Linked DNA regions of Tribolium castaneum. The protein of the gene in region 1 purifies or fractionates together with the protein of each later gene. This does not show direct contact. Links are inferred from orthologs where the notes say so. Each region holds a gene or a part of one and is shown in the gene's direction. Other genes may lie near its edges. The genes, in order: Mad1 and mad2.

The links.
Region 2: the proteins of Mad1 (region 1) and mad2 purify together in Drosophila melanogaster (affinity purification with mass spectrometry; 4 studies listed by BioGRID, with this or other methods). This does not show direct contact. The link is inferred for Tribolium castaneum from reciprocal best matches to the Drosophila melanogaster genes Mad1 and mad2.

The regions. Positions count from the first base shown.
Region 1 is NC_087396.1:23,433,159-23,449,194, reverse strand, and holds part of Mad1 (mitotic spindle assembly checkpoint protein MAD1), read left to right. Parts: intron 1-14,183; 5' UTR 14,184-14,280; coding exon 14,281-14,727; intron 14,728-14,775; coding exon 14,776-14,992; intron 14,993-15,050; coding exon 15,051-15,187; intron 15,188-15,236; coding exon 15,237-15,611; intron 15,612-15,663; coding exon 15,664-15,994; intron 15,995-16,036.
Region 2 is NC_087398.1:3,478,848-3,494,108, forward strand, and holds mad2 (mitotic spindle assembly checkpoint protein MAD2A), read left to right. Parts: upstream 1-5,720; 5' UTR 5,721-5,826; coding exon 5,827-5,902; intron 5,903-5,950; coding exon 5,951-6,097; intron 6,098-6,146; coding exon 6,147-6,541; 3' UTR 6,542-6,611; downstream 6,612-15,261. Other genes in the region: uncharacterized protein LOC103313241, read right to left, coding at 8,152-8,275, 8,368-8,473, 10,779-11,053, 11,159-11,173, 11,273-11,426.

The DNA.
Region 1 (16,036 bases):
GTTATCGCAATGCATGTGGATTCTGGCAACAAAGCATCTGTGATGTGCCTTCGACGCGAGGATGTTATTCACGTTCTGGATGGTCTGCAACTTGACGCTAGAGAGTCATCGCTAGAAGATCGCATTGAGATAGCTGTTAATTCTATGGGTGAACGTTTCATTAACACTTGTTGCGAAAGCGCAATTCTTGGCTCTTAACATACCAGAGAAACCGGTTCAGTTTTTGTTTGAATTTAAAGTAGCTATTTTTAAGTTCAACGCGGCATGTTAATTTCAGTTTCGATCAACTAAATCTGTTCCATTTCATATTTATATGTAGTTATAATAAAACATGAATTACAAAGTTTATATTGTTTTAGTAGAAATGCAAAGACTCCTTTTTGATATTGGACTTTAATAATTGGAAGCCGGTCTGATGGGTTTTAACGGTTCAGTTACCCAAACCAGCTTGATCAGGAAATGAAATCCACAATATTTCGGGGTATTGGCTTGGTCCAGAAATGAAAAGCTATTTTTGGGGTATCTAAAAACTAGAGAATTTATAAAGGTTTCCTGGTTTTTAAAGTAATTTTACTTGGAGTGTCGAGGATTTTAAGTCGCTTTAAGTTGTTTTTCGTTGATTTTTCCATGCGCCAATAGGCTTGGTCCAGAAATGAAAAGCTATTTTGAGGTGTGTGAAATCTAGAGATTTGACAATGGTTTTAGAGCAGTTTTGAGGTAATTTTACTTGATTTTTGCATGCGCCAATTGGCTTGGTCCAGAAATGAAGAGCTATTTTTGGGGTGTCTAAAATTAAGGCATTTTGTAAGTTTTTTAGATCTTTTTCGGATGGTTACTTTTGGGAAAACACTAAATTTGTAGGATTCTACCCTGTTTTTCGTGTGCCCAATTTTTGGTGGCCTACACATATTTGGGAACTTTTGGGGTGGATAAAAATTAATGATTTTTGAGAGGTTTTAGGCCCTATTCGGTTGTTTGCTTTTGGGCAAACAGTTAATTTGTAAGATTTTGTCTTGTTTTTTAAGACGTCAAATATCCTGGCCCAGAAGTAACATTCTATACTCTACTTTGCCCGCCAGCGAGATAAACATTTACACAAAATACATCAAGTGCAAATGTCTGCTAGGGAATTAACTATTGCTTACTGATCGAAAATAAAGCCAGATTATTACAGCGAAAGCTCCTATCAGCGGACACCTCTCCACAACGGACAACTAGAGATTCTCCATTGAGAAGAGGTTTTACTGTATCGGGAAACAATTTCCACTCCAATTCCAACTTTACGGATCGAAAATGAAGCCAGATTATTACAGCAAAACCTCCCATCAGCGGACACCTCTCCACAACGGACAACTAGAGAATATCCATTGGTGTTCGTTGTTGAGAGGTTTTACTGTATCGGGAAACAATTTTCACTTTAATTTCAAACTTTGAGGCTGGCTATTTTAATTTTGTCAAATATTAAAGCCGTTCTTTGGAAAACAGAATTAAACAAAACGCATTGTTTTCCAAGTTTCAAATTGTTGCTCACCGTCGTGTCAGACAAAAGCTATTTGTAGGTTTGCAAAGCCCAGTTTTCGCGATAAACTCCGCCACAGTATTCAAACATCTAAGTTGCTGTTCATCTGAGTTAGATTAGATCTTGTGATGCAGTTTGGAATTGTGGTGCCACTAAGAAACCAGATACCGGGTGTTCGTTTATTTATTTTGCACCCTTGATGAAATGTAAGAGCTTGTGGTTGAACGGTCGGGTCGTGTAACATATGGAAGGCCATTAAAAAGATGGGTCATTGTCTCGTTTGCGGTCCGTGGAGCAGTGGCTTAATTATTACATTTGTTTTGCCAAGTTTATCCCCGGGCGCGTCCTTTTTGCGGGAAACGTAATTAATTCCGAGATGGTAAACGTGGAAATAATTTATTCAAATTCGATGTGCATAATAAGGAGAAATTCAAGAGGAGGGCACAAATAAATCCCACAAACTGATGGAGTTTTTTTGCGGGGTTTGCACACTTAATTAGTGTGGAGTGAATTAAGAGCTGCGGTATGAAATTTTGAACGCCACAAGAATTGTGTTGCGGTTCGAATAAAAAATCACGCGGTGTGAAAACGCGAAAATTCTCAGTCAGGGTGTTTATGAACACTGTTATTTCTTTGCCGGCCATAGAACTGGCAGGTTTATACGCCACTATTTGCATTTTTTAACTTCTTGGTTTATAAGATCGCTGAACGTGAATGTGGTTCTAAAGCGATTTGTGTCGTTTGTTTTCAAGTAATCGTCTGAAATTAAAATAAGTCTTTAGCTTTTCTGTAGCAATTTTTGTCGTTCTTAAGCAAGAAATCGTCCGAAATCATTGTTTTCAACTAAACTAGTGCTTAAGTCGGCGTTTTTGACACCAGATTATTACAATTTCAAAGTTTTTACAACAATTTTTGATCAAAAAATGGTTAAGAAATGCCTGGTTTTTACAAAACCAAAACTTAAGTTGTTGTTTTCAGCTACAATAAAACTATTTCAGAATTTTTAAAGCGTTCGTTCGAAATCAAATACTTTTAAACTAAATTCTTGCTTAAATCACCAAAATAGAGTTTCTGTAACGATTTTTGACCAAGAAATGGTTTAAAATTAACAAAAGCTCATTTCGAAAACACTCTATACTTGAAAGTAATTTTAGGTGAGTCAAAGAGTTGCTAGTAAATGATTAATTTTCTAACATTAATTTTCACATCGCTGGGACTGACTATATATATATATATATATATATTTTATTACTGTTTATTATGATTAGAAATGATTTGGAAATCAACGTTTTGTCTATTATACGACAGTCATCATCAGGCTAACAATACATTCGTATAAAAAATAAAAAAAAATTGACATATTATTATGAAATAAAATTTGAAAAATAATGGTAGCATCAATTGTTTTTTCTAAATTTTAATCTTCAATCTTTATTTCAATCTTCGGCTAGACTTCGACTAGAATTCGCCTCATAATGTTGAATATTTATTTATTTGTTTTCTTTTTCTTTAATAAAGACCTATTATTATTATTATTATTATTATTATTATTATTCATAATGTCATGGCAAAAAAGTTTATCTATTTTTTATACAAATGTATTGTTAGCCTGATGTTGACTGTCGTATAATAGACGAAACGTTGCGTAACAATCGTTGTTTCATTGATAGTTCTCTATCAGTTATTTATTTAACCTAGGATTAAGCATACAAGATAACGTTTTACTATCGATTACCTTAAAACATTATACAATGTGTTTTTAAATAATTCTTATCTAGTTGTTTGTGAATTTTTTTGTAAAATTAGAAAATGCCACTTCATATAACTAACGATAGACACTAGACATCGAATATTATCAATTATCATTCTTCATTTATTAAGTCTCCAATTCGGAAATAAGCTTTGATAACAAAAGCGTTTTTTTTTCACGGTGTAATAATTTAGTTGCATTTTAACAAGATTTTTTAAAGAAATTAATTGAATTTCTCAACTGACAGATTTAACATCTATTGACAGATGATTCAACTGAGCAGAGCGGTACAAATTTTTTTACATAAAAAACAATTTTAAAGTTAATTAGATGAGAATCATTTAATTATCGTCCGAAATCATTGTTTTCAACTAAGAATATTACGATTTCAGAGTTTTTACAACAATTTCTGATCAAAAAATGGTTAAGAAATGCTTGTTTTTTACAAAACCAAAACTTAAGTTGTTGTTTTCAGCCACAATAAAACGATATCAAACTTTCCAAAGCGTCTGTTTGAAATAAATACTTTTAAACTAAATTTTTGCTTAAATCACCAAAATATAACGACTTTAGAGTTTCTGTAACGATTTTTGATCAAAAAATGGTTTTAGAATTAACAAAAGCTTATTTCGGAAACACTCTGTTCACTGAAAAATAGTTTTAGGTGAGTCAAAGAGTTGCTAGTAAATGATTAATTTTCTAACATTAGTTTTCACATCGCTGGGACAGACTGCATGCTGGAGTTTTTAATAAAAATAATTTCGGCCGCCGTTTATTAGGATTAGAAATAATTTGGAACAGCGTTATTATAGACTTTTTTTAGGAGATGGATGTTTGCTCCGGTGCTTTTAGTGCATTAGCCGATTTTTTGCAGGGTTGGGCGTTTGTGCAACATTTTCAGTAGTTAACAACCCCAAATTTCCGAAACGCGTCCCGGAGCTTGTAATGATTTGGCAGCCGAGTTGGCAGTTTTGCGAAAGGCCTCTTCGTGATCTTTTCTAATAGATCTTCTGTTTCTGAAAGCAATGAAGCGTGTCAGTGTCTGTCGGTCAGTTCCGGGTCTTGAAAGGGCCGATCGTTGCCTGCGCTGGATTCTAATCCGGCCAGGAAATGTGCTGGATGGAGAAGGATGTTGCGTACTCGCACAAAATGGGGATAAAGTTATACCAGGACAAGGAATCAATCAATGATCATTTTCGCAAATGCCTGATTCATTTATCGGCTCTGAAAAATGTGTACAAAAAAACTCCGCTTAGGATTTTTCGTAATGCGCTCTAAAGCATCAGCGTCTATAAAGGATATAACTTTTTTATGGGCATTTCGGTCAGTTCATTTCAATCAACAACGCTATCGATTCGAGGATCCTCCAGTTTTTAAGTTTCTTGAAAAGTTGGACTCTTTTATCAAGTGAAATAAATTCTGAAAGTTAACCACTGTTTCGTTCGATTTGCGTCCAGAATTTGCATTCGCTCGCTTGCGAGTGAGTTCCGAACGTGGTCACGAGTTCAGCTACCAAACGCTGAATTACGGTTTAACACCTGAAGGATTACAAATACAAACCACACACGTGCTGAGCTATATTCTCACACGAACGCCTCTGAATGACACGTTTTTCGCATAATGGAATTACGTGATTTGAACGAAAACTAGGCCAATGATCTTATTAACAAATCAACTGATTATCCGAACGAGTGCCATCGATTAACTCGCGCACACAAAAGAGGATTAAATCTTTTACACCGGCTGATATTTATTATCACTGCATAACCGGACCCACTTCATATAATACCAATTTGTGGTACTCGCAGAATTCCAAGTGCTTCATTTAGCCTAATTGCCTTATCGGGATTATAAATCTTGGCGAACTGCAAATTACTCAAAACGGAACGCTTTTTATTAATTGGGACCGGATTTTAACTCGCAATTTTTAAGCTCGGAATAAATCTGTTGTGCGAAACTTTTTTTTTTATTTCTGTTGTATTGTTTTTTAATCTCAAATGCAAATAAACAAGTTAATAAACCATCGAGCTACACCGTGACATTTCATCCGTTAGTTAATTTAATCCGCGAAATTAATTAGTTATTAATATTTTACAAATACGTCAAAATGTTGCGAATTTTTTTATTTCTGCTAACAACAGTAAAATTATTCAACCAAATTTAAATTAGTGAGTACTTGCTCAAGTTTTCAACTTTGAGTCAATTTGATTAAAAAAGTTTTGCTGCAGGGATGACTGAAGCCAGAAAAAGAACTGGATGTGTAATTTTTTTGTCTAGATCAACCTTTTTAACGATTCAAAATTTTTTCCATTTTATGTTATTATTTATGTTGAAAGTAAACAGAATAATATTCGCAACAACGACGAGGCCGAACAGGCCTCGATTTTTCTCTTGAAACTTTTCTGCACATAAGCGAAAGCCGATACTCCTGCAATGAATAGTATTATCCAGAGCAGTGAGTGTGCTTTTAACGGAAATATGAGTATTTTCTGTGATCTTTGTTGTAATAATTGCGAGTAAATTTCCAGTTTTGAAAACGAACTTGATACGCTTGAAACAATTGTAGATAAAATCTTGTATAATACTCGTAATGTAATAAAAAGTCAAGTATTCTGAGCATCAAAATTAAGGCAATTATTCTACAATCAGCGTCAGAATGCGCAACAAAATTCTCCCAGTGACATCATTCGTGTTGGAAGTAAAACTATCCCGCGGTAACAAAGGGAATTTCGTTTGTGTGGCTTTCTCATAATCACATTAATTTCCAAACTAAATCAACTTCCGGAGAATCGAGTCACTTCCAACATTTCTCGACTCTTTTTCCCCAAATATGGCCTTGGTTCATTTATCACAAAATTATTCTGTAATAAGCTAATAATTTTTGACCCGACTATTAATTTGCAGTGTTGGCAACTCTTCGAAATCAGAGGATTAGAAATGGTGTTTTATTTTGTCGTTTGAGTTTGATGCATAGGTCTGCTCTAATTTTCTCGGATTATGTTGATATTTTTACTCGAAAATCCGCCCCAACACGTGGCCAACCGTGAATAATGGATTAATTAGAATTATCGAAGCATAAATAATGATCACCAATACTTCAACCACGCGCCCATTATGTTACGTAATTAATTTCAGCGACTCCTTACGTTTCATACAAATCGACCTATTTGACAGATACAAAGCACTTTTGGTGCAACCAACGAACCAATTAATTGTCGCATGTGAGGCATACATTTAGGACACGACTTTTATTTTCCTTCAGCAGTGTTTAATTGAAATCGTCTAACATTTTCGGTTCAGTTCGCATTGTCAGAATATGCGAAACGCTACAATTTAAAACGTAATTAAACTGCAAGCACTTGCAATAAGCAATCAAGGGAAATTTGCATATATTTTCGCGCTAATTCGACAGTGCCTTGAGACTCTATGCCAGTCTCGTAGCGCGAATTGTTTGTTTTGTCCCGAATAAGAAATGTCTTGGCGATAGTTTGTTCTGCGGAATTAATTTACTGGAGGAATTCGGTATAGATTACTCTTTCTCGGTTACTGATTAAACGTCAACAGGTTTAATTACACAGTTTAAAAAATCAATTTAAATGCGAGCCAAAAACACAGTTCCGCGAATTTATTTCGATTTAGAGTTTTCCGCCAGTTTTTAATAATGCAGAAATGCATGAGGTAAACATTTTAAACTACAAGCCAATTTTGTACCGAAACCCATTCGATTTTATCACCGATAAAGCTAAATAATTCGATAAAAAGACTGCCGGCCTTAAAATACTGAAATATTTTATATTCGCAAAGTTTCATGTCATTTTATCTCTACTTTTTTATTTTGGAACTCTTGTGAAGTTCGCTAGGTTTTAAATTGCGCCACGAGCAAATTTAAACGGAAACTTTATCATTCGTTGAGGATTTTGCCGCAAGGGATAACGGGAAATGTATGTAGTAAATGGTTCAACTTCAAAATTTTAATTAACTCTGTATTTATTTATTTACTTAATCGAATTGGCATCAAAATATGTGCGTTTACTGGTAACGGCAAAACCTGAAATCGCTTTTATTCTGCACCAGTTGTGTCGAAATCAGTTAATTTTTAACCACTTTTTAACCACAAAAATCGTTAAAAAAACTCTAAAATCGTTATATTCCGGTGAAGAAAACGACGATTTTGGCACAAATTTTGTTAAAAACAGTTGATTTTTAACCAGTTTTTGGTCAAAAATCGTTAAAAAAACTCTAAAATCGTTATATTCCGGTGAAGAAAATGACGATTTTGGCACAAATTTTGTTAAAAACAGTTGATTTTTAACCATTTTTTGGTCAAAAAATCGTTAAAAAAACTCGGAAATCGTTATATTCCGGGGAAGAAATCAACGGTTTAATCAGAAATTTTGTTAAAACGTTTTAACCATTTTTGGGTCAAAAATCGTTAAAAAAACTCTAAAATCGTTATATTCCGGTGAAAAATTCGACGATTTAAGCAGAAGTTTTGTTAAAATCAGTTGATCATTAACCATTTCTTGGACAAAAATTGTTGAAAAAACTCTAAAATCGTTATATTCTGATGAAAGAATTGATAATTTTTGTCCCCAATTTTTTTGAAGTCAGTTAATTTTAAACCATTTCTTGACCAAAGTCGTTGAAGAAACCTTAAGAAAAAGACTACGATTTAAGCACTAAATTGTTGACTTCAGTTGAATTTCAATCACAGCTATGATTTAGAAAAAAGAAAATGTTAACATCTTTATTAATGAACAAGTTATGGAGCCCGAAATTAATGCCAAAAATTCAACCATATTTATCTTCTTCGTTGTGTATTGAAAGTGCGGTTTCAGCAATGATAAATGTTGGATGGCGAATCAATAACAGGCAGTTGAGCTCGTAGTGAATATAAAATCACGCCAAGGTAAAAAAGACAAGTGGTTCTGTCTGCAAGCCTTTCCTCAGATAAGATAAATAAAAATGTCAGCAAACCGTCGGAAAAGTGTCCCAAGTGTATGGTAATTGAAGTGTTAAAATTTTGAATTTTTGCGCTAAATGATTGTACCTACACAAGCCGTTGTGATAATGGAACAACAGTGTAGTTAATGACAACATTAATCATATTACGGTGCTGAATAGATGAGTTTTATTGACGTTGTCGATGTTCATTGAGAGAGACACGAGAATAGTGTCAATTTCGCGAGGTTCGGCTTGTTAATTAATTAACGTTGCGAAAAAACTTACGGGCATGAATTAAAATAAATCTGCCATGTTTTGATACGCATTGATTCATCAAAGGCTAATGCAAATTTTTGTGGGCAAAGCTTTTAGTAACTGCATTATTACCGTGAATTTTTCACAGGCTTTTGATGCATTAGCAACTTTAATAAAAACTTGCGAGAATTAGGTTTCCTCAAATTTTTATTTGTTTTAGTAATGAAAGCGCAGTGTTTGTCGAAAATTTCATTCCCAACCTTTTTAAAATGGATTTCGGGATTTTGCAACAAAAAATTGTGCTGATCCAATAAATTTAAAAAACATAAGCTGGTGACCGCCTAACAACCCTTCTCATGCCACCGGCATTTCCGATATGTATATAAAACTTGCCCCGAACATATCACGGGTCGCATTTATTAACAGAGGCGAGTCCGGAGTGTCCGGCCGATCACCCGGAGCCACTTTATTGCCTCGGACCGGCTAAAACATGACACAATCAGCGAAAAGAGCGCTAAATGTTCTTATCGCAATTAGCAATTGTCCAGGGTTCGGGTAAAAAACGCCGAAATGCTCCGGAATAGCTGATTGAATATTTCAATATTTCGCCCTCATGTCGCTGCTATTTTTTAAAATATACAGCTCGCAGCTCGGATTAAAGCCGCTTTTTCCTCATCCACGTCTAAACTTATAAATTTAAATTTTGCAGTAGCAGTGCCGTGTTTCAAAAAATCTGTTTAATTTTTGTTCAGTCAATTATACAATTAACTGTATCAGTGATTGATGGTGGAGTCACTTCAAAAAAAATTAATTTAATTAAAAAATGGTGGATGTGCCGGGCTATGTATAAAAATTATATCTCAAAAACTAAAAGTTTTTGAGCAAGACGGTTTGTTCCAAAGTATTCTCCTACGGTTCAGTTTACGTATTATTATACTTGACTTTTAACCACTCGCATTTACCGAAGGTTTTAAAGTTTTCATAAAGTAGCGAGCCAAAAGATTTGTTAACGAAACATTTTTTTTTGGTTTATGTTTTTTGAATTAAGTGGACTGTTTGTGTTTTTAATATTATTTATATTACATTAGTTTTTTTACAAAACAAGATTACTCAAGAACTTTTTATTTAAAAAATGGTGGATGCGCCGGGTTACATATTAAAATTTATTTGCAGTTATTTACTAAATGAAATTATAACTTGAAAACTGTAACTCCTAGAGTAAAACAATTTGTTTCATTGTATTTTTCAGTTAATATCATATAGTTCACAAAATTTTTTTCACAACACATGATACTACACAATTATTTAAAACTTATTTTAATTAGAAAAATGGTGGAGGCGCCAGGATTTTTTATTTAAATTATTTGTTCCAAAGGTCATTTGATTTCATTTCCCGTTTTATACTTACTGTTTTTACAATCGAATTTGCCTAAAATTATGTGGTGACGTTACAAAGCATATTTAGTTTTTCATTAAATAATTCATAACTCAAAAACTAACTTGAGCACTTCATAGATTAGCAGTTTATTTATTACCACAAACCTTAAATAAGTTAACTTTGCTTTTACCGACAGTTCTAAAGGTTTAATACAATAACGAGCCAAAAATTACGAAACATTAAGAATTGTTTTTTGTTTCTTAAATCAAATGAATTGTATATGTTACTCGTAATATTATTTTGTTGGTGTTGTTAAATTCTTTCATATTTTTAAGAGCCATAAGCACATTATATATGTAGAAACTAAAGAATTTAAAATGACACATTGTGTTTCAAAAATATTTTTTGAATTTGTATAAATTGGTAAATAGATGATTATTATTTAAGAATATCTTTATTTAATAATTAGCGGTGGCTGTAATGTGTTTAAAAAGTAAATTGGCTCGCTATAATCTTGTATTTGTGACAATATCCTCCAATTATTGAGCTGTTTTAGGATGCAGCCCACACACCCAACCAAATGCATTTTCCGACAAAACAAATTTAATTTTGGTGGATGCGCCGGGTCAGAACCATCACTCGGTTCAATAAATGACAAAATACGTGATTAGCTAATTAAAGTTTTTGTGGTTTGTGGCAACATTTATTAGCTGCTAAATATATGATGCAGTCAGAATTAAAATAATTAATCATATTTCAGTAACTTGATATGAAATTAATGAATTTGTTTTTGCATTTGCACTGCAAATTATTTATGTTTTTATTAATGGCTTTTCGTCACTTTGAATTCGTTATTAAATAGTAGGGTTACTTACGAAATTTGCATCTTAACTCTTGCTCATGTTACCCACTTGAATGCGTTTATAAATCAAGTTTCGTGACTTTATTAAATTTTAAGTAGCGTTTAGGGTTAAGGTAAGTTTGGAATAATTTATAGATGAGACGCTACGATGAAAGATTGCTCAAAACGGAATCGCTCATTCTACAAGAAACAGCCAAAACCAAAAAACGCTTGCTTTCGTTGCCAAAAATTAATTTTTCCAGCCGAGTGGACTTTCATTTGTTAGTGGATGCATCCAGACAGTTCTATTCGAGTCTATTCGTGTGAAACTGTTGCTTATGTTGCATGCACACTCGCATCTAGTACAACTTCAAACATTCAAACATCCTCGCAAAACAATTCTACTAAAACCTGGATTGGCAATATGAGCGCACTCCATTTACTCAAAACTGCAGCGGCAAATTAACAACGCCCGATCGAACAGACGACGCTACTTGTGTTTAAACTTCCGCCGAGCTAAAAAATAAATCACCGTGTCTTCCATAAACAAACCAATCTGACAAGACAACGAGACACGCACAAACACATGTGACGTCAAAGGATTCTTCCACAATTATCTATTCCGCGAAAATTTCACACCCTTCATCATCCGAAAAGATCCAACTTCGTAAGTTGAACGGAGCGCAAATCAGAGCGGTGGGAGTCTTTGAAGCTTGTCATTGTTCAACTAACTTCATGTTCGAATTGCTTGTAACATCGACAATCTAATGTAGACTTGAGTATTGATCCGGAACTTTTTCCTGACAAGTTTCGCTTTAATAATATCCACTCTTGATGGATTGCGTTTAAATCGGGAAAAGTAAAAGTTTCATTAGACAAATTGTGAGCTCGAGAGCGCGCTCGATCTCTCTTATTAAATCACTACTACGAAAATCCGAAAAACCTGGATCTAATTAATAACCAGAGGAAAGTAACCTAATTCAAAGGTGTTAAAAAAAATGTACAAAAACAGAAAATCTGGTAATTTATGTTACATTTTTTATTAGAAAACTTTTGCTTAGTTTTGAATGCCTTATGATTGGAAGTTTACTTTACCGGCGATATCCAATGACAAACGCTTTAATTGTCTTGCAATTTTATGTGCACCAGATAAAACAAGTAGGAGGTGATTTTTATATTTTTATTGGTCAGTTACTCATTTTTGAGACAAATGAGACACCAGTGGACCGGTTTAGGGGCCGGTCTTTCTCACAGAACGAGATTTTGCCTTAAATGCAAAAAAATTGTTGATTCTGCATAGTTTTTGACTTTGTTTCATTTTTTTGACAAAAACACTATTAAATTTACATATTACACAAAAACTAAGAATCCAAAAAAAGTACGACTTTACTTAACTAATTAAAGTCTAACTGTTAGTTTAAAAAAATAATAATTACAATTATAATAATTAAATTCTGAAGTGTTTAGAGCAGGGATGCAATTAAACTTCATATTTTTAGCGACGTTTCGATTTTAATGAAATCATCATCAGGGTACAAGGATACATAATAATGAAAGTAGATGAATTTTTATAAAATTAGAAGATAATTTAATTCTGAAATAGAGTTAGCACGTTTTCAGAAATTAAAAGTTAAAACTATGAAAAAAGAACTTTAACGCTGAGAAACTACAAATGTTTAGACTAAAATTGTGAAAAACTAAAATACTGAAAAACAGAAAAACACAAAAAACACAAAACTGGAAAAGGGAAACATATTTTAAATAAAAAACAATAAACAAAAAAATTAAAAAGGTAAAAAATCTTAAAAACTGGAAAACTGTAAGATTAAAATTTTGTAGATCTAAGTCACTGCAAGAATAATAATTAAAAAACTATGAAACTGCAAAGTAAGAACATTAATAAGATAAGATAGTGAAAAGATACTGAAAAATTAAGAAAATAAATAATGTGAAATACTATGAAACTAAAAGCTGAAATACTAGAAAAACAAAAACAAAAAATCTTTAGGTGTAAAATAAAATAATTTTTAAATTGAAAATTTTAATGTAGTGATTTAATTTAAACTAAATGCAAAATATAAAAAGTATAATAAAAAAGTTCAACATAACTGCAGGATGTTTATTCGAATTGTTCTTCATAAACATACTCAGATGTAATAATATATGTAAATACATTGTCTTAATATACTCAATGATCCAGAGAAACTGAGTATGTTGGCATCAGATTAAATTATTGAATTGCTACCTGAAAGTGTACACTATTGGTATCCTTTAAAATTTAAATTCAGATTGCTAACAGACACAGTATTTCGGGATCAGTCTGTATAAATACATCAGTTTTGTTGGTTTGATTACTTGTCTACAGACTGTTCAGAAAAGCAAAAAAATATAAAAATTTTGCTTGTAACCTTTGACAATAGTCCAATTTTTAAGTCCCTCAAGGCTAAATTTAAACAACTATTTTTCAAAATTTATTCGCGGTTATAAGATATACGGACGTTTGTAAAAGCGGCCCTAACACGTACTTTAACAGTTTGATGTCAAAGTTCTTGATAAGTTTTGAAATTTTTTAAAAGTAATCTCGATTGCATCATAGTTATTAGTAAATTACTCAAACACAAGAGAATTACAAGTGTGCTAAAATTATTTTAAATAAAAAGTCGCATATCTGATATACATAACTATAACTGGAAGTTAACTGATTAAAACTACCATGTAATCATTTAAATTTATAATAATAGTAGGCTTTAATATTGATTAACTTGTATAATACTTGTAGAATACGTTTTTTCGCTTAGTTTCTAAATTAAGCACTCACAAAAAGGACAAACCTTGTTTTTTTAACAGGCATAGGCGTTATAACATTGTGTAAAACAACATAAAAGATTAAGACATAGAGGGACATGGCGAATTTGAAAACTTTGAACCATAGCAAGTCCTAAACTCCCTGCTTTCACAAAATACTAGCTTCGCAACTACAATAAATTTATTTATTATTATGATATACCTATTAATTACTGCACATCATGTTTAACTCGTCTTCATGGGATTTTCAATTACATCCCAAGAACCGTTATCATCTCCAAGGACGGTCTTCATCTCCTAAACATCAAGAAATTCCCTTATTAGAGAAGTTTGTTTGATCCTTCTTGGTGTAATATGATTATATTAATATCTAGAAATCGCAATTAATTGTTGTATAGACACCTTTCAATAACGTTTACCTTAAGATGTTTGATCACAAAAACATCCAAAAATCAAAACAATCGGCTGTTGATAAATTAAAGAATTAAAAAGAGAAGTGTGCGCACGTCGATTACGTATTTTTAGGTGAACCTTCTTTACTTTTAGCAAAATGTGTGACAGATTCCTTTAAATTTACAGATTTCTTTGCAACTGACGCCACCTCTAAGCTGGAGCACACGAACTATTTTAGCCGTTTGCCCCACCCCTCCCAGTGAACACATAATTTGACATAATTTGTATACACTTTCAGGGGCCTGCTCGTAGCTTTCGCGTAGAATGTGATACCACTGAAGTGTGGTTTTGTGAGACAAGTAAAAGTGAGGTTGGTTTCGTCGCCCCTTGTCAAAATGGGCGACAAAGTAGACGACACTATCATAAAGTTGGTGAGGAATTTGAAGTCGACGGTCGAGGACGAGCCCGATTTCACCCTGGGCAGCCCCTACAAACTTTCTCTGAGTTCGGTCTCGAACGACAGCCAATGCAGTTCCGAGGAGTTCCTCAAAGTCAAGCGACCAAAGCGCGAAAGTTTGCTAAATGTGTCCTACGCGGGGTCTCCTCGCGAGATCCGACGTTTGCGGACCGATATCTTGGAGAGTCGGAACACGATTTTGAATTTGGAGAACCGGATCCAACACATGCACAGTGTGCGCAAGGAGGTCGAGTTAATGTACGAGAATGAGACAAAGTTGTTGAAGAAGCAACACGAACATGACCGGAAGAGTATCGAAGAGTTGGAAGCGCAGTTGGTCTCAATCAGGCAAAGGGAAGCCGAGTTGAAGAAACAACTTGCTGAGGTTCCCTGTGTTGTTTTTGTGACAAAAATGTTCATTTTTGATGTCTAGGTGACCAGCAACTACAACATGCTGAAGGTGCAAAAGGACGAAGTGATTGAAGAACTTGAGAAAAGTCTGTCCGAGATGAAGGAAGAGTCGCGGCTTTTTGACGGTGAAGAAAACATTGAAATTGTGGCGTTGAATCGGAAGTTGGCCGAGATGCAAATGATGCTGGACGCCGCTGAAGAAGACGCCGACGCTCAGAAAAAATTAGTGCTTGAATTAGGTAATTAACAGGGACGTAATTATTTCGCAATAATTGTTTTTGTTTTTCGTACAACTAGAGAAACAGTTGGCAGAAAAGAACGCCATAGACAGGGAAATCGAGAAGAAGGAACAAGCGCTCCAAATTGCCAATTTGCGCATAAAAGAGTTGGAATATGCCAAAGAAAATTTTTTGGAATTCCAAGATCAAGCCAAAGTAGTATTTATTGAAATATTTTCCCCGTTTCTCAAATGAATTGTTTTAGAGTCAAGCGAAAAAATTGGCTAACTACAGTGATATGGTCAGGGAAGTTGAAAAACTGAGGGAAGAAAACGTCCGGTTGAAAGACGAAGTTAAGAACAAACTATTACTGGAAGAGGAAGTTCACGATTTGAAGTCACGTTTGGTTAAATATAAAGAACAGGAGAAGAAATTGGCGAATTTAGAAGCTGAAAAAGTTCAAACTGGAATTTATTTAGATGAGTGGCGAGCTGTAGCTCGTGGAATTTGCGAAACAGTGGGTTCGGACTCGTCTTTGCCTCATCTTTTACGTTCAGCTGTTGAAAAATTGCAACAACAGGAGATTTCGTTAACTTCGACCAAAGTTGAATTGGAATCGCAATTAACCGCTGCATTATACGTAAATGTTTATATTTTAAATTAATAAATTATTAGTTGTTTTCTAATTCTAGGACGCCAAAGTTGCAAAAGCTGAGATTGAAAAAAGCCACAAACTTATTTCGGAGCTGAAGAAAACCGGTGAACAAAAACAGGCGCTTTTGCACCGTATGCAGAAAAAACTGTCGTTGGTCAGTCGGGAGAGGGACAGTTATCGGCTTCAGCTCGATTCCTACGAGAAGGATTTAACAATGTCGATAAATCCGTCAACAATTGCAAACTCGAATCAGCTGCAAACTCAGCGGGAGAGAATCGTAGCGTTGGAGAAAATCATCGAAAGTTACAAGGAGTTGAATGCAAAGTTGGAGTCGGATTTGCAAAACACTAATCCTGCGTTGTATTCCGGTACGTCCACGTTTTATTGATTTAAACTGAAAATAAAGATTT
Region 2 (15,261 bases), on another chromosome or scaffold:
CATTCGGCATTCATCTTTAACACATGTTTCCCATCTTTCACACTCGCCCTAAAAGCCCTCACACACACTAACCATTCGGACCTCCCAAGCATCCCTTACAATTCTACGAATTCATATCAACTCGGCCTTTCCTGACAATGTTCTCGTCCTCGAGAACACATCCCAACCATCTAATCACTCATTCCCCTAATGACACTTACCATAACTTAAAATAACGAAACTAAACACTCTACTTATGTCCCCAAATTTTTCTAATAATAAAATTCCGATAAAAATTTAACATTACCCTTAACACTTGTACAACCTACTTTATCTTAATTATTACTCCTCTAAATTACTAACTAATTTTAATCTGTCTACAGAAATAATTCCTTTATAGAAGCGACTACTTTGTTGTTCGCCTTCTATATCTTGCACTAAATATCTATCATTCCCTATAAATTTAACAATCTCATAGGGTCCTCGATACTTAGGGCTCAATTTACGACTTTGGCCGGTCGACGGTACCTCAGCCCGTACCAACACCAAATCCCCTTGCTTGAAAACCCTAGCCTGACGCCGCGATTTATTAAAATTCGCGCACATACGATCCGCATTTCTTTTCAGCCGATCCGCAACTAAATTTTGCTCTTCTTCCGTATTTAAGCGTGTATTTAAATCGCGTATTTCGGCTGCTAACGGATTATTAGTGAACCCGTCTCGCGTGTATGTCCGGACCAAACTAAAAGGCGTTCTTTTAGTGACCGAATGGGTTGCATTATTAATAGCCCATTGTACTTCGCTTAATTTTTCGTCCCAATCACTACCTTCTATGTCATCCGTACTTGTACTTAAGCATGTTATTATCACGTCGTTTACTTTCTCCACTTGTCCATTCGATCTAGGACTTGCTGTTGCAATTTTTACGTGTTGGATTTCACAATCACCGCAAAATTTTTCGAACAACTTCGAAATGAACGCTGTACCTCTGTCGCTAATTATTTTATTGGGCTTTCCATAATTAGAAACGAATTCTTTCAAAAAACTAAGAGTTCCCTCGGCTCCTACATCCGGCAGCGCTTTTAATACTGTGTACTTACTAAAGCCGTCTATAATAGCGCATACGTATTTGTTTCCTGTTTTACTTGACGGAAAAGGGCCCAAATGGTCGATATGCACCACCTGAAACGGAGTACTGCCTTTGTCTAACGGGTGCAGCATTCCCGGTTGCCTCCCGCGCGGTGTCTTACTATACAAACAGTTAATGCATCGATTGATATATTTTCCTACCTCTTCCCGCATTTTTGGAAAATAGTAGCTCTCTTTTATTTTGTCCAACGTTTTATCTATTCCCAAATGCATAAGTTCTCTATGAGCGTTACTAATTATATCAAATCTTAAATCGACAGGTACATACAATCGCCACTTTCCATCTTTTACCCGATAAACACGACCATTGCATAACGTAAATTTAGAGTGCGTTGCCTGATCGCCCTCTTCTAATTTCTGTAAAACGCTTTTAGTTTCATTGCAGGTACGCTGTAATGCCGCTACCCAATCCGTATTTATCTTTATCCCCATGACATCTGGAAGTCCACCCACTGGCACGGCCCGACCAGCCTCTACCGCATTTCGGCTAAGGGCGTCTGCTACTTTATTGTTTTCGCCCCGGTGGTACTCAACGGTATAATCAAACTCTGACAACCTAATAAACCAACGCCCTATTCTTGGATGCATATCTTTTTTATTTGCCAACAATTTTAAACTGTTACAATCAGTACGAATTACAAAATGAATCCCTAGCAAATAAACGCGAAATTTCTCTAGTGCCGCTACAATTGCTAAGCATTCTAGTTCATAGCTGTGGTATTTCGCTTCCTCGGGTGTCGTTTTTCGGCTGTAAAATGACACCGGTCGCAATGTTCCGTCATTCTGTTTCTGCAGAAGCACGGCACCTAACCCCGTTGAACTCGCGTCTGTATGAAGTTCTGTATAGGCGCCCGTGTCGAAAACGCAAAGGATTGGTTTGTTCATTAATGCTTTCTTTAACGACTCGAACGCGTTTTGCTGTATTACCCCCCATTTAAAACTACCTCCTTTTTTTAATAAGTCACTGAGAGGACGGGCAATAATTGCAAAATTCCGGACAAAACGCCTGAAATAACTAGCCAACCCCAAAAACGATCTGACCTTGTGTACGTCTGTAGGTACCGGAAACTCAGCCACTGCCCTAAGTTTATCCCTTCCCGGTTCAATACCCTCTTTTGAAATTGTAAAACCCAAATAATCAATTTTTGTCATAAAGAAAAAACATTTTCGCAAGTTTAACGTCAAGTTCGCGTATCTAAATCTATTAAATAACAATTTTAACTTAGCTAATCCTTCCTCTACAGTTTTGGACGGAATAATAATATCGTCCAAATACGCCATCGCAGTGTCATATCGCAAATTCCCAAGAACTATGTTTATTAATCTTTGAAACTGCGAGGGCGCATTCGCTAACCCAAAACTCATTCTCTTAAAACAGTAGACCCCATCAGGGGTAATGAAAGCCGTCTTACCTCGCGCGTCCCTCGACATTGGTACCTGGTGGTATCCCATGGACAAATCCACTGAGGTAAAGTAGATTTGGCCCCGAAGTCGATCCAGCTGATCGTCGATTAACGGCAAGGGGTAGTGCTGTTTCACTGTTTTCTTATTGAGCGCTCGATAATCGACACACATCCTCACTTCCCCGGACTTTTTCTTTACGAGAATTACCGGACTTGCAAATGGAGAATCAGTTTCTTCAATTATATCGGCCTCTTTCAATTCGCGCACTATATTTCGCACTTGTTCTTTTTCGGAAAACGACATACGATACGGTCGATAGACAACTGGTTTATCGTCTGTTAATTCAATGTCCATTTCTACTAGATTCGTACATCCAATTTGCTTAACATTTCGGGCCACTAAATCTCGATAATCATTTATAAGTTCCAACACTTTTTCCGCGTCTTTCCCGGCCAAATCAGTGTTGATTTCACACGCGTCAATAGGTTCCGTGTTAACATCTCGCCGATGTGTATATTCTCGACACACGTCCCCTCGCGCAACACTTTGATTTTCAACAATTTTTATGTCCTTTCCACTTATATTTAAAATGGGTAACACCGTGTCACCGTTCCTGTCTGTGCTTATTACACATCGTGGTACCCACTCTCCCGACTCGCGTAGTCCACCTTCGACACAAAGGGTACTTTCTGGTGTCTGTGTCCTGACTGTGATGTGCCCCAGGAAGTTATTTCGAATTACAGACGCCTCACTCGCCCACAAAACCGTTCTTGGAGCATTATTCGCACCGTTCTCTTCACATTTTCTTATTATAAGTTCGTGAGGTGTTTTTACAATTTCGATGTGCGGCTGTTCGGTGTATGGATGCCCGATTATCACTGGAATCTCCTGGGTTTCCCTCGGCACCACCAGGAGTTCGATCTGGGCGTTGATGCCGTCGATTTCTACATCCACCTGTGCGGCTCCTAAAACACTTGTAACTGCACCGCCGTAGCCCGTAACGTCCTTCTTCTTGTCCCAGTCACACATAAGTTTTAATTTGGGTACATAATCATCCCGGATGACACAAACTTCCGCTCCCATGTCCACGTAACCCCTAACTTCCACCCCGTTAATTTTCACGTCCTTAAAATACTTTAGATTGTCCGACTGAGCATTTATTGTCTTTACTTGCGCCGCCACTTCGTTTGCAGTAGCACCCCGTTGCGAATTTTCGTTTCGCCCTACTACTTGTCTTTCTCGCGAATCGCGACCCGGTACTTGGCACTCGCGCGCGAAGTGTCCCATTTTCCCGCACTTAAAACACGGAAAACATTTGGTGTTATTTTCCACTCTCGGAGTGTTACAGTTTTTAGAAATGTGGCCCTCTGCTCCACAGCGAAAACACTTTCTCTTCTCTGGCAAAATACGCCTCTCTGGAACCGAAATTAAATCCAACCGTTCATTGTTCCTCAAATCACGAAGAAGCTGCCACTCATCGTCGTGTCGAACAGTCAGCAGAGATCTCGCAACTTCCCTGGACTTCAACCCCGTGAGCAGCATTTCTTTCGTTTCCGCGAACGACAATTTTAAATCGCGACACATCGCCATTTTTGCGTAAAAATAATCTTCCGCGCTTTCACTGGTTCTTTGTTTTCTCTCCGACATCTCTCTAAACCTTTCGGCGAGCGTTCTTCGATCCGTATAATTTTCGCGGAATCGCATCTCAAACGCTGCCCACGTTGTTAAGGTATCCTGGTGATATCGATACCACAACAACGCGCTATCTACGAGGTGTTGACGCGCCACCTCCAACAAAATTGCATCACCCCAAAATTGACGTCCCGCCATGGTTTTGATGTCCTGTAACCACTGTAATGCGTCTGATGCACCTCCTTTTCCATTGAATACGCGTAAACTTTGCGTTAAATCGGGCATTACGCAATACCCCATGTTTCTCGACGCCCCAGGCGCCTCCACCCGGCCCAACGGAAGACTGTTCTGCAGGCCACTTGTCTCCGACACCACCCCGTTTCCAGACGACCCCAGCGTCCCCGACGCCTCCTTATCTCTGGACAACTCCTGTATGTCTGGCGACCCTGCTACCTCCTGGTCAACCGCCGCCGCCGCCGCCGCCGCCACTGTCCCTGTCTGAGCCTGTAACGCTTCGCTCACCGCTGCCTTCACTAATTGTAAAATTGTCTCTAAGTTCAAAAATTCCTGTCCTGATTGAGGGATGATTTCCTTCGGGCTTTCTTTATTCTTATCGTCCGTCATTTTCCTTTATTTCTTTGACCACTAACAAACTAACACTAATAAAACCAAACTAAGTCTCCACGAATAATTTTTTTTTTCACGATCCCACTTCTGATAAATTGTTATAGTTTATAATTTATTACGTCAGGATTATAGGGTAAATAAACTACGATCTTCTCAACAGGACCTTTTAATTTTACTTTACTCTACAAAAGCCAGTTACAGACTAACTTATTTTCTAAAAATCCAGACATTCGGCATTCATCTTTAACACATGTTTCCCATCTTTCACACTCGCCCTAAAAGCCCTCACACACACTAACCATTCGGACCTCCCAAGCATCCCTTACAATTCTACGAATTCATATCATTTGATTTGATAAAAATTGGGTGCGAATGGTTATAATTCGTGACGAAAAAAGATGAAAACGGTGAATTCAACAGATATTATCCAATTTTTTAAACTTTTTGTTTAATGGCAAATTTTGGGGCTAAATCTGATTGAATTTAGATGGAAATTAATTTATAAAATGTCTTACTGCCCTTGTTTCCCTCATAAATCGGTTAAGCAACGTTTTATGAAAAAAACACGTGGGTTTAACAAAAATTAGTTTTTCCAACAAATTCGTGGATGATTTCCATCTATTTTCGATTGAGAATGCATAATAATGATTATTTTCGCCCTAACAGTATAAAAAACAAAGATATTCTTTTAGAAAAATAGTCAAAAGGGTGCAAAAGATGATTCATTCTTATATTTTTTTGTCGTCTCATTCTCAATTTTAGTCATTTATTGGGGTTCCTATCTAGCAACGTTCTTTTGGCGATAAATTAGTAAATCATTGCGTAATTTTCCATAACAGTTATCCTGGAAAATTCTGGAACACAGCGAATTTCTCTTCCCGGTAGAAATTCTGGAAAGGTTCTCGAAATTGTTTACATCCGCTGAGATTGGCAAACCTGCCACTTGACGTTTGACAGTTTTGAAAGTTTGAATTCACTTTTTACCGTTACTTTTTTTGCCGCTAAATTATCTGTGTGTGTTAAGACAGCCCCGCAATGGCCGCAGTGGCTCCAAAAAACAAATCAGCGATCACTCTGAAAGGCTCCGCCGAAATCGTTTGCGATTACTTGAGTAATTTTGCCCCCAATTGTATAAAATGAGGTTATGGCTGTCTTGCAGATTTCGGAATCAACTCGATTTTGTTCCAACGGGGGCTGTACCCACCCGAGAACTTTCAAAGTGTGGAAAACTACGGTCTGACGATTCTCATGTCTACCGACAACAAGATCAAGGAGTTTCTCTCGACGACTTTATCGCAATTAAAAGGTTTGGGTTACCGGCGAGTTTTTTTTGACTAGTTTTGTATTATTTTTAGAGTGGTTACTACAAAGGTGCGTTACGAGGGTTGCAATGATCATAACGAACGTGAAAACGCGGGAGGTTATGGAACGTTGGGATTTTTATGTTGAGTATGAGGGGAATGCGGATGAACCTGGGGGGGCCGTGTCGGAAAAACCGTTAAAAACTATTAAAAACGAGATTAGGGACGTGTTGAAACAAATCGCGTCGTCGGTCGCCTATTTGCCTTTATTGGACTGTTTATGTAGCTTTGATATTCAAATTTATACCAAAAGTGATGTTGATTTGCCGGGAGAGTGGACTGAGGCCCAAGCAGCCCATGTAAAAAATGCACAGTCGGTTAAAATGCGGTCCTTTTCAACCAATTTACATAAGATGGATACTGTCGTTACCTATAAGAATGAGGACTAGGTTTAAGTGTAAAGTGGAAGCGATTTTTGCGTTCAGTGTGTTTAATAAATTTACATTTTTTTACACAGAAGATTTTTATTCCAACACCAATGATCGAAAAAAAGGATTATGATTTTACATTTGTGTTTTTTTATTGACTTGAAGGTAACAACCTTCATTGAAGTATTCTAGGACTTGGGGCAAACTCACTCAAAGATAACGTTTTCTGCGTTTATTTAAATATATTTATAATTAATAAAGTTTATAAAAGAAGTAACATTTCTTTTATTTTTCAAGCATATAAAACTTAACTACAGTCACGACAAATGGTTCGAGATTTCGACCTAAACTTCTAAGTTTTCACTCAACTAATAGCGCCATTTATCGTTATCACAATATGCGAGTATCTTTAACAACACTGAGATTTACATAACATTGTTGCTAACATGATAAAAAAATTATTACACATCGACTACTACATTGTGCGTTTTTCTCCAAATCAAATAAATTAAACGAGTATCTACATCCTCTGTAATGCAATTTTCTTTGGTATAGGGTTATCCAGCCTTGTCGCTCTTTTCCGCTCCCTCACAATACTGGAACAAATCAAACAATTATTACTGAGTGATTAGCAACTGGAGTTTCGAAACCACACACCCTCTAAACTACACAGTGTTAGTGCGAAAACGTGCAAAGTCAACACTACCTTACCGAATCGGTCGCTTTTTTGCCTGAAACATAAAAGGGAACGTGTACAAGAGTCGGTTTTTCCCCGGTAGTTGAGAGGTTTGTGTTAAGGTTTACGTCTACGTATTGCTATTTGAGAGGGACATGCGAGTTAGAGACATCTGAAACTCACAACAAATCTAACAGTCGATTAAATTTCGAGAGTTATTAGTAAACAGTTATTAAAGAATTGGTTAATACAGAGAGCAGGCAAAATTGATTACATACCTAATTTTATAATTTTTTATCCAATAGAGAGTCCTTTTGTCCCCCAATGTACCAGATAGGGTCAAACCAATAGTAAAAAAACTACGTCCTTCCTTTCATCGTTTATTAATAAGTTTACAACAATTTTTTTATTTTTTTAGAATTTGTAATAAAGATTCTTAAGATTTTGTTGTGAGTATAGATGTAATAAATAAATATATCTACATGACTTTATACAAAAATTAAGTAAAATGTCGGTCCCTGATATTTATAGGTACATTGCTTTTTACCTGAAATCCAAATCGAGTTTCGGTCAAATTTATTAGACGAATTCGATATCAGGTATAAAGTGGGTAAATGAATGTCGATAATAATCTACGGCTTGCTCGTCACTTCTAGTCATGAAACTCTGTTCACGCTGTGAAACTCCACGTAGATCATTGTGGACATTTATTTATCTAGTGGTTGCTCGATGACTGTCCAAAAAAACAGAAGAAACGTACGCTTTTCAACAGTCTTATACATTAGGATAGTTTACAAATATACAGTGGAGTTTTTTTCATCCCTCATAGGTGTATGTACAAACGGTAACAAGTTAATTTACACAGCGTCGATGTTAAAAAATCCACTAAAAATCGCTTAATTCCCGGACGCAAGTCTAGCACGAACTCTCATCTCGTAAAAATGGAATAATTTCTCTAGCAATCATCGTATTTCGTAAAGAGGCCTATCTTACAAGTGAATATAGGTGTCTGTCGATACCTACTGGATTGATCGGACATTTTCCCCTCACATCTATGACCCGTGTACCCGGGAGGACACCTGAAACCAGAAAAGTCCGTGTAATTCGAGCCGGCGGCGGCGCTTGGCGCCATCTGTCGGCGGTGTTGTCCGTCCGCCGCCTTAATACTTACACACAATCATAGGAATTCGGTACTTTGCCGCCTGTGATTCTCGTGGCAAAGCAAGTGCCCCCATTATGACAAAAGTTCTCTCGCATGTCTTCCTTGCAGGGTTCTCCTGCAACCAGAAAATTCGCGCGATTACATAAAAGCGTTAGATGACCCAGCGTTAGGAAAGCAGCGTTTTGGCAACGTACACACGACCGATTTTGTTTATGGGAGTGTGTACGACCTGTCAAAGTGCCAATAGGATTGTGTAATACGGGTGGCGCTTGACGAGATTATTATTCACGGATTTTTCGCGATGCGATGCACTTTTGGCAGCCGAGCGCGCATTAAAGGACCAAACACTTTGCTCGCGCCTTTTTGCGCTTGTGCCAATCACTAATCGTATTATTATAAGTCGAGCGACAAATTAAATCTAATAAATAACTAATTAAGCGCAAGTACGTGCTTTTTTACGTGCCTTCGTTTTTTTTGACATTATTTTACAAAAATAAACAATTTGTTGACAATATTTTTTATCAAAATAAGGCTGTAAAAAAGACTTTCAGTTCTAAAAGCTGTGAAAATTCGACTTCTAGATAAATAACGAGTGGGTCAAAAGTTTTCCAGAAACAAAACAATTTTTTGACGTTTTTTTTCCAAAATAAGGCTGTAAAAGGCTTTGAGTTCTAAGGGCTGTAAAAATTCGGCCTTTAGATAATTAACGAGTGGGTCAAAAATTTTCCAAAAAGTTGAAAAAAAATTACTTACTTCTGGAATGGAGCCGTCTATAATTATTGAGAGTTAATTTTAACTATTATTGCAAAAATACCCAGCTTGGACGAACTATAAAAAATGGTAGGTACGATTTGGTTTGTATTTCTGGTTCATTAGTAAAGTAACTAAGTAGCTTTGAAACGCCTTTATAAAACATTAGAATACTTTTACCTACCCTAACTCTAGGCACAATTTTTTCTGTAACATCGTATTGCAGGAAATGTGACTCTATATTCTTTATTTCATATGGTGCTTGTTTTTATTAGATACTTCTAAGTTCTTAATATTTCTTGATGTTATGTGACAATAATAATGTGTTGACCAACTTTTACAACGAAGATAAAAGGTAAAAACTAGACAGATTTTAAAAATGTTCATTAGCAGAATCACAATGTTATCTACGTTAATGAATAAATAACATTAATTTTGCGCAAAAAACTTTTAACGAAGAGTAGCTGTGAAGAACAGTAGAATATCTATGTCCTTCAGGTCCGTACATTAGGTGCAAACCTTTTAAAATTGCGTGAAAGAAGATACTTAGAGTTGATGTAATCAGTTATACGACAAAGTTTTTTTGATTTATTCCGTTGAAAATGACCGATAAATAAAACAATGGTCTCGAAAACTTTTGGAAGTTAAAGAGACCAACTTCAGAAATCTCAAAATTAAGATGTTAATGATAATGAAAATATAAAATGTAAAATACATATTGACATAAAATTAAAGATCATTTTAAGGATGATGAAAAACTTTCTAGTATTTTAGCGAAACATCTTATTATTCTGTATTAGATTCAATTTATAAATGCATATTTATTTTCTGAATAAAATGCCTTTATTCCGAGTAAAATCTCAAAATCGGGACATTTGGGTTTGTTTATGAAAAAGCAGGACATAAACGTACAACAGGACAAGACATCGAAAAACCTGTCCTGGGTAAAAAACCTATGAAAACATGAGAAAAGTGCCAGTAGTATTTTTAGTAATCTTGCGTACTACGATTTGTGCTAAATTACATAATTATTATTTCAAATGTATCTAAACTCTCAATTCGAATCTTTGTAGTAGAAATTTTAAAGTTACTTGGGTTTTGCTGAAATATTTGTCTCGCATTTGCTAAAAAATGGACAATTTTAGGTTCGATTAGAAAAGTTTGGCCTGTTTTTCCGGCTCATCTTATTAATTATTTTTTTGTCTTAGAGTAGGACTTGATTTTTTCTGGTAGTTAATGTTTTAACTATACATACAGCACCTAATTATTAAATTATAACTGTGAGAAACTAAAAAACTAAGAAATGACTGCAAATTTTATTCTTATTTATTGTATAATATTGTACTTTTTGGTGCATCCGAAGTTCGCTGCTTTTTAATTTTAGGTTGAAAACACAACTGCAGTCTACACTTTATCTAATACCGCCAATTAAAAAAAGTATGGATACAGCTTTGAAAACAGTTTATCAGCGCGAAATTTGATCAAATTGTTTTGTAACATCCTTTGTAGGATAAAAAGGCAATTTTAATTTGTTATATTGTGTTTGTGTAGAAAAAGGTAAATTTAGTTCGTTCTGCTGTGTCGATTTAACTAAATAGATGAGACTGTTTCTGATAAGTTGTTGATTTTTTCGTGAGTACAGCTAAAGCAAGTGTATCCCGCGAACTCACTATCAGGCGCTGGTGTCGCTAAATCTATATCGCTTGTATAGGTACCAGGTGTCTGTAAAGGCCCGGAGGTCGTGTGTGTGTTGGGCCTGAAGATCCTGTGCGTCTTGGGCCTGGAGGTCGAGTGCATTTTGTGCTTGGAGTTGTGTGTCTTGGACTTCGACGGCGACGAGTTGCGGCGGACGACATAGGAAACCTCCTCTCCAGTCGCTGCAATCGCCACACAGGTGTACTGTCCCGTATCCGAGCGTTTGTCGACCACCAGAATACTTTTTCGCCTGGAAAACGCAAGAATCACCTTTGGAAGGAGCAAAGCGGAAGCAAAAGCGCATGCAAGCGATATAATTTCATCATGAGGTGGCTCGGCTCACTCATCCACTCACCTATCGTTCCCCTCACTGCGACGACACAGCGGGAAAAAATGCCAATTAAAATCGGGTTTTTCATGGGGTTTTACAAAGCGAGAAGCTCCCGAAACGGGAAGTAACTTTACCTACTTTTTCTGAATGATGCGGACGCGGTCCCTGTTGTGGAGGATCGTGTTGTTGTGCTTCCACTGGACTGTGGGCAAGGGGAATCCCTCGACTCTACACGTGTATTTTCGGTGCCTGGCGTGGCAGGCGCTCTCGTTGATCCTGACAGGCTTCGGAGCTGCAAAAGTTCAAAGGAAATGTTACAACAAAATTCTTGATTATTCCCATCAATTTAGGGATCACCTGGACCCAACCAAAAAAATGTTCTTGTTATTTTTTTTAATTTAGTTTATAAGCTGTTAAAAGTTAACTTTGTGAATGAGAGCTTCTGATTGGTTCAATTTGGTCACGTCATCAGTTAATCAGGCATTTACTTGCGGATTAAATTAATGACGTTCTTCTAAACCGATCCATAAATCAATATTTTTGTTATCAAATCGTTATTATTCATTATTAAAGACCGGATTTTAAAAAACTTCCCTAACCCGTAATTTTTGAGGACTTTTCTTGAAACTCGAAATAAACCTGCTTCGTTAGAAATATTTGACACAATTTTTATTTCTCTTAAATTCCTATACCGACCAACTTCCCGTATCCTAAACGTGTTTTAAACATCCTAAAGTTTCTTATTTTAAATAATACATTTATTCAGTTTTTTATTAATATTTACATCAGATTTTTTAATTTCACATTTAGAGATTTTTTGTTCCTCGGGCATCCAGTCTTTCAATCGTATAGTTTTTTAATGTTTCCATCACAGTTATTAAGTTTCTCAGTAAGTATATCAGTTTTATAGTTTATTATTTTCCTGGTATTTTATTTTTACTTCTTAAATTTTTCACAGTTTTATTTTCTGTTTTACAGTTTCATAAATGTTCTAACTTTGTGGTGATAAATTTTTTTTTTGAATTTTTCGCTCATTTATTTTTCTGTTAGTTCTACACAATTTCAAGCTTTCTGTTTTTTAGTTTTTTTTTAGTATTTCAGCTTTTCAGTCACTTAGTGAATTGGTTTTTTATTTAGAATATAAGTGTTTCAATTTATTAGTTTTTCTCTTTTCTAGTTCTATAGTTTTTTCAGTTTTTCACTTAGTTCTTCACAATTTCAATCTCACGATCTTTTAGTTTCTTTCAACTTTTTAGTATTTTTTTATAAAAAATTTAACCACAATGAGAAGTCAGCAATTTTTGCTGAAAATTATAATTTCCACATAACAGTTTGATAAATCTAACATAAACTAATCCAAACCAAATTTGTTTCGACGTCAAACCTAAAAACACGAATTGTTTGAGTTAAATACAAAAACTCATATTTTCATTCAAAAGTAAACTGTAATTCTCTGTTTTCATTCTTTTTCTAAAAAAAATTCTAACTACCTCCAGGAAGGAGATATGAGGACGTAAAAATAAAATTTGCCCAGTCGTAGTTTTTCAATTTTTTTATTAAAACTACTTTTCCATAATGAAGCTAATTTTAAATCAAAAAACGACCTTTGCATCTGAAGTCAGGAGAAACTTTTCCACAAGAATCAGTTTTCAATCAAGTCCGGAATATTTCGATTTCTGGAACACCAGTTTGTTTGTGCAAAAAACGTGCTAAGCTCTTTAATGTTCCATTTTTCTTATTTTCCTTGCTTTTGCCGATTACCACTGCCGGACCTCAAAGGCAAACAAATGTGTACCGAATTATCCTGAACTGTGAACAGCACTAAATTTAAATTTCTTGTGAAATAATATCTTGGCAAAACCGAGTTCAACTTTTTCAGTTGTTGTGCATGTGGTGTTTTGTAGAGCCGGCGCAAATTTTCCCTTATTTTTTCACAAATCACGCAAATAAAAATATTTTTTTATGAGTTTTTGTTGGACTCGGCGTCCAACAGGTGCCACCTAAACTTAGCCCCTTAAAAAATTGGGTTAGTCGTTGTTTATTTTTCGGGCACGCCACTGGAGAAATCCTATTTATACAAGTCCTTACTCCACTTCTCGCTTGCATTTACCTGTGCTACCGAAATACCTCGTCCCGGCCTCGTCGCCATTTTCGGCCGCGAAAATTCGCTTTGTTTGCCGAAATTTCCGAAATTCCTTTCGGATAACTGTAGATCGTCTGGCCTTCGTCTAGTTGGAACGTGATCGTCATAAATAAGCCGCGAAGAAAGGAAAAAATCAGCGCACGGCCACCATCTATTACACCCGCTCGACGGAAATTAAAATACAATAATCCGGTGGAGCATCCCGGACCGTATTTTTCGGCATGTTTGCCCGAAACTATTAGCGAATTCCACGGCATTGTTTCCAAGTTAATATTCAGCACGCGTTCGAACTCTTCAAAATGCATTCCGAGAAGCTGAGACGGATTCCCCGCGAACGACTAGAAGGACGCATTTTTGGAAAAGATGCCGAAAAGACGTAAATCAACCGATGGACACGGGAGAATGTTAACTAGCACCGACACGAATATACAACAGGCGCCCGCAAATAAAACAAAGCCCACGGAGGACCAACACAGGAAAATGCCCTTTTCGGCATTTTTCTGCATAAAAAATTATACCAACTGACCGCACAAAAGCTTGGATCTGCGGATAACTCAAGGGGAAACTGCCTTTTTTTATAGATCCAAGTTTTCGGGAAAGTTATTTGTGCAAAAATTATTTCCTCAGTGGCATCTCCTTACAATTTATTAATTCCACGATTAGTACTTTACAAAAATTAAACTAAAATTTTTCTGGTAAAAAACTAAAAAGGCGTACTGAAGACTTGGAGCAGGAACAGCGAAAATTTTTTTTTTGAAAATTTTGAATTACAATTTTTAAAAAACAACTGTGACGTATTCTAATAAGAATCCCAGGGATTAACTCACAAAAAAGGTTGTCTGTAGAGATTCCACTAAAGTGGTGATTTTACAGAAGATAGTCTTTGTGTGAATTAATGAATAACTCATTCACTCTGGATTTAAAAAAGTGTGATGTACTCATACCTACCTACTTGTGTTATTTTTTACAAGTGTGTGCGAGTAAAGTAAAAAAAATCTTGGCTACTATATACATCCTAAATATCTTATGACTTTTTACGTCATACAGGTCTTTTTGTTAACTTGTTCCTAAATATTGCTGAACCTATTTTTACAACTACAGCAAACATCCTGTATACCAAAATAATCTATGTTAAAATAGATTTTTTTATATGTGGATGACACTTTTCTAATTTTGCTACTTTCAGAAATTACGCCAAAATAGAGTTTTAAAAGATGAATGAATGGTAAAATACTATGTATAAAAATATGAAAATAAGATTAAAAAGTTGTTTTTTTCAGTTGTTAACGAACGTAAAACATTTTTTTTTTCAGAAAGACTTTAATTTCAGCAGAACATGCTTACATTATTTATGACAGTTTCTCTTTCATAATAATTTTCTTACGGCAAACACGTAAAAAATACGTCTGGTTTCCTGTATTCTGTAGATCAAAAACAACAAAGTCTTTTTAATCACAGGCTCAAATATGAGTCTAGCACTTTGTTAATGGCTTAATTTGTACTATAAAAAATATTTGTGAACCTCCACATCTACGCCACTGAACGAATAAAAAACATAAACATACTACTCGGAGTTATATTAAGAAAAATTTAGGGTAAAAAAGATTAGACACAACGAAAAATCTAGGATTTTTTTCATAACTTCGCCAAAAAAATAAGATTTTTTGTTCTAGACTTTTAACCAACACTGTATAAAATTATTTTTGTTTAAATAAGAAATTCATATTCCAGTCACAGTTTTTTTACGGGAAGGTTTCTAATGTTTTTGCATCCATATAGGACAAAAGGAAAACCTTGATGCGTTTTCTGCTAGTTTTTAAAATGTGTTACCTTAAATAAATACAACAAAAATATTTTATTTTCATTTTTTCCTTTGTTATGGCATCACTTAAACACCCTTTAAATTGGCTTTTACTCGCATAATCTTGGGAAATGCTATTTTTTTCTACCATGGAATCTAGTTTAATTTCTCGTTAAAAAGGAA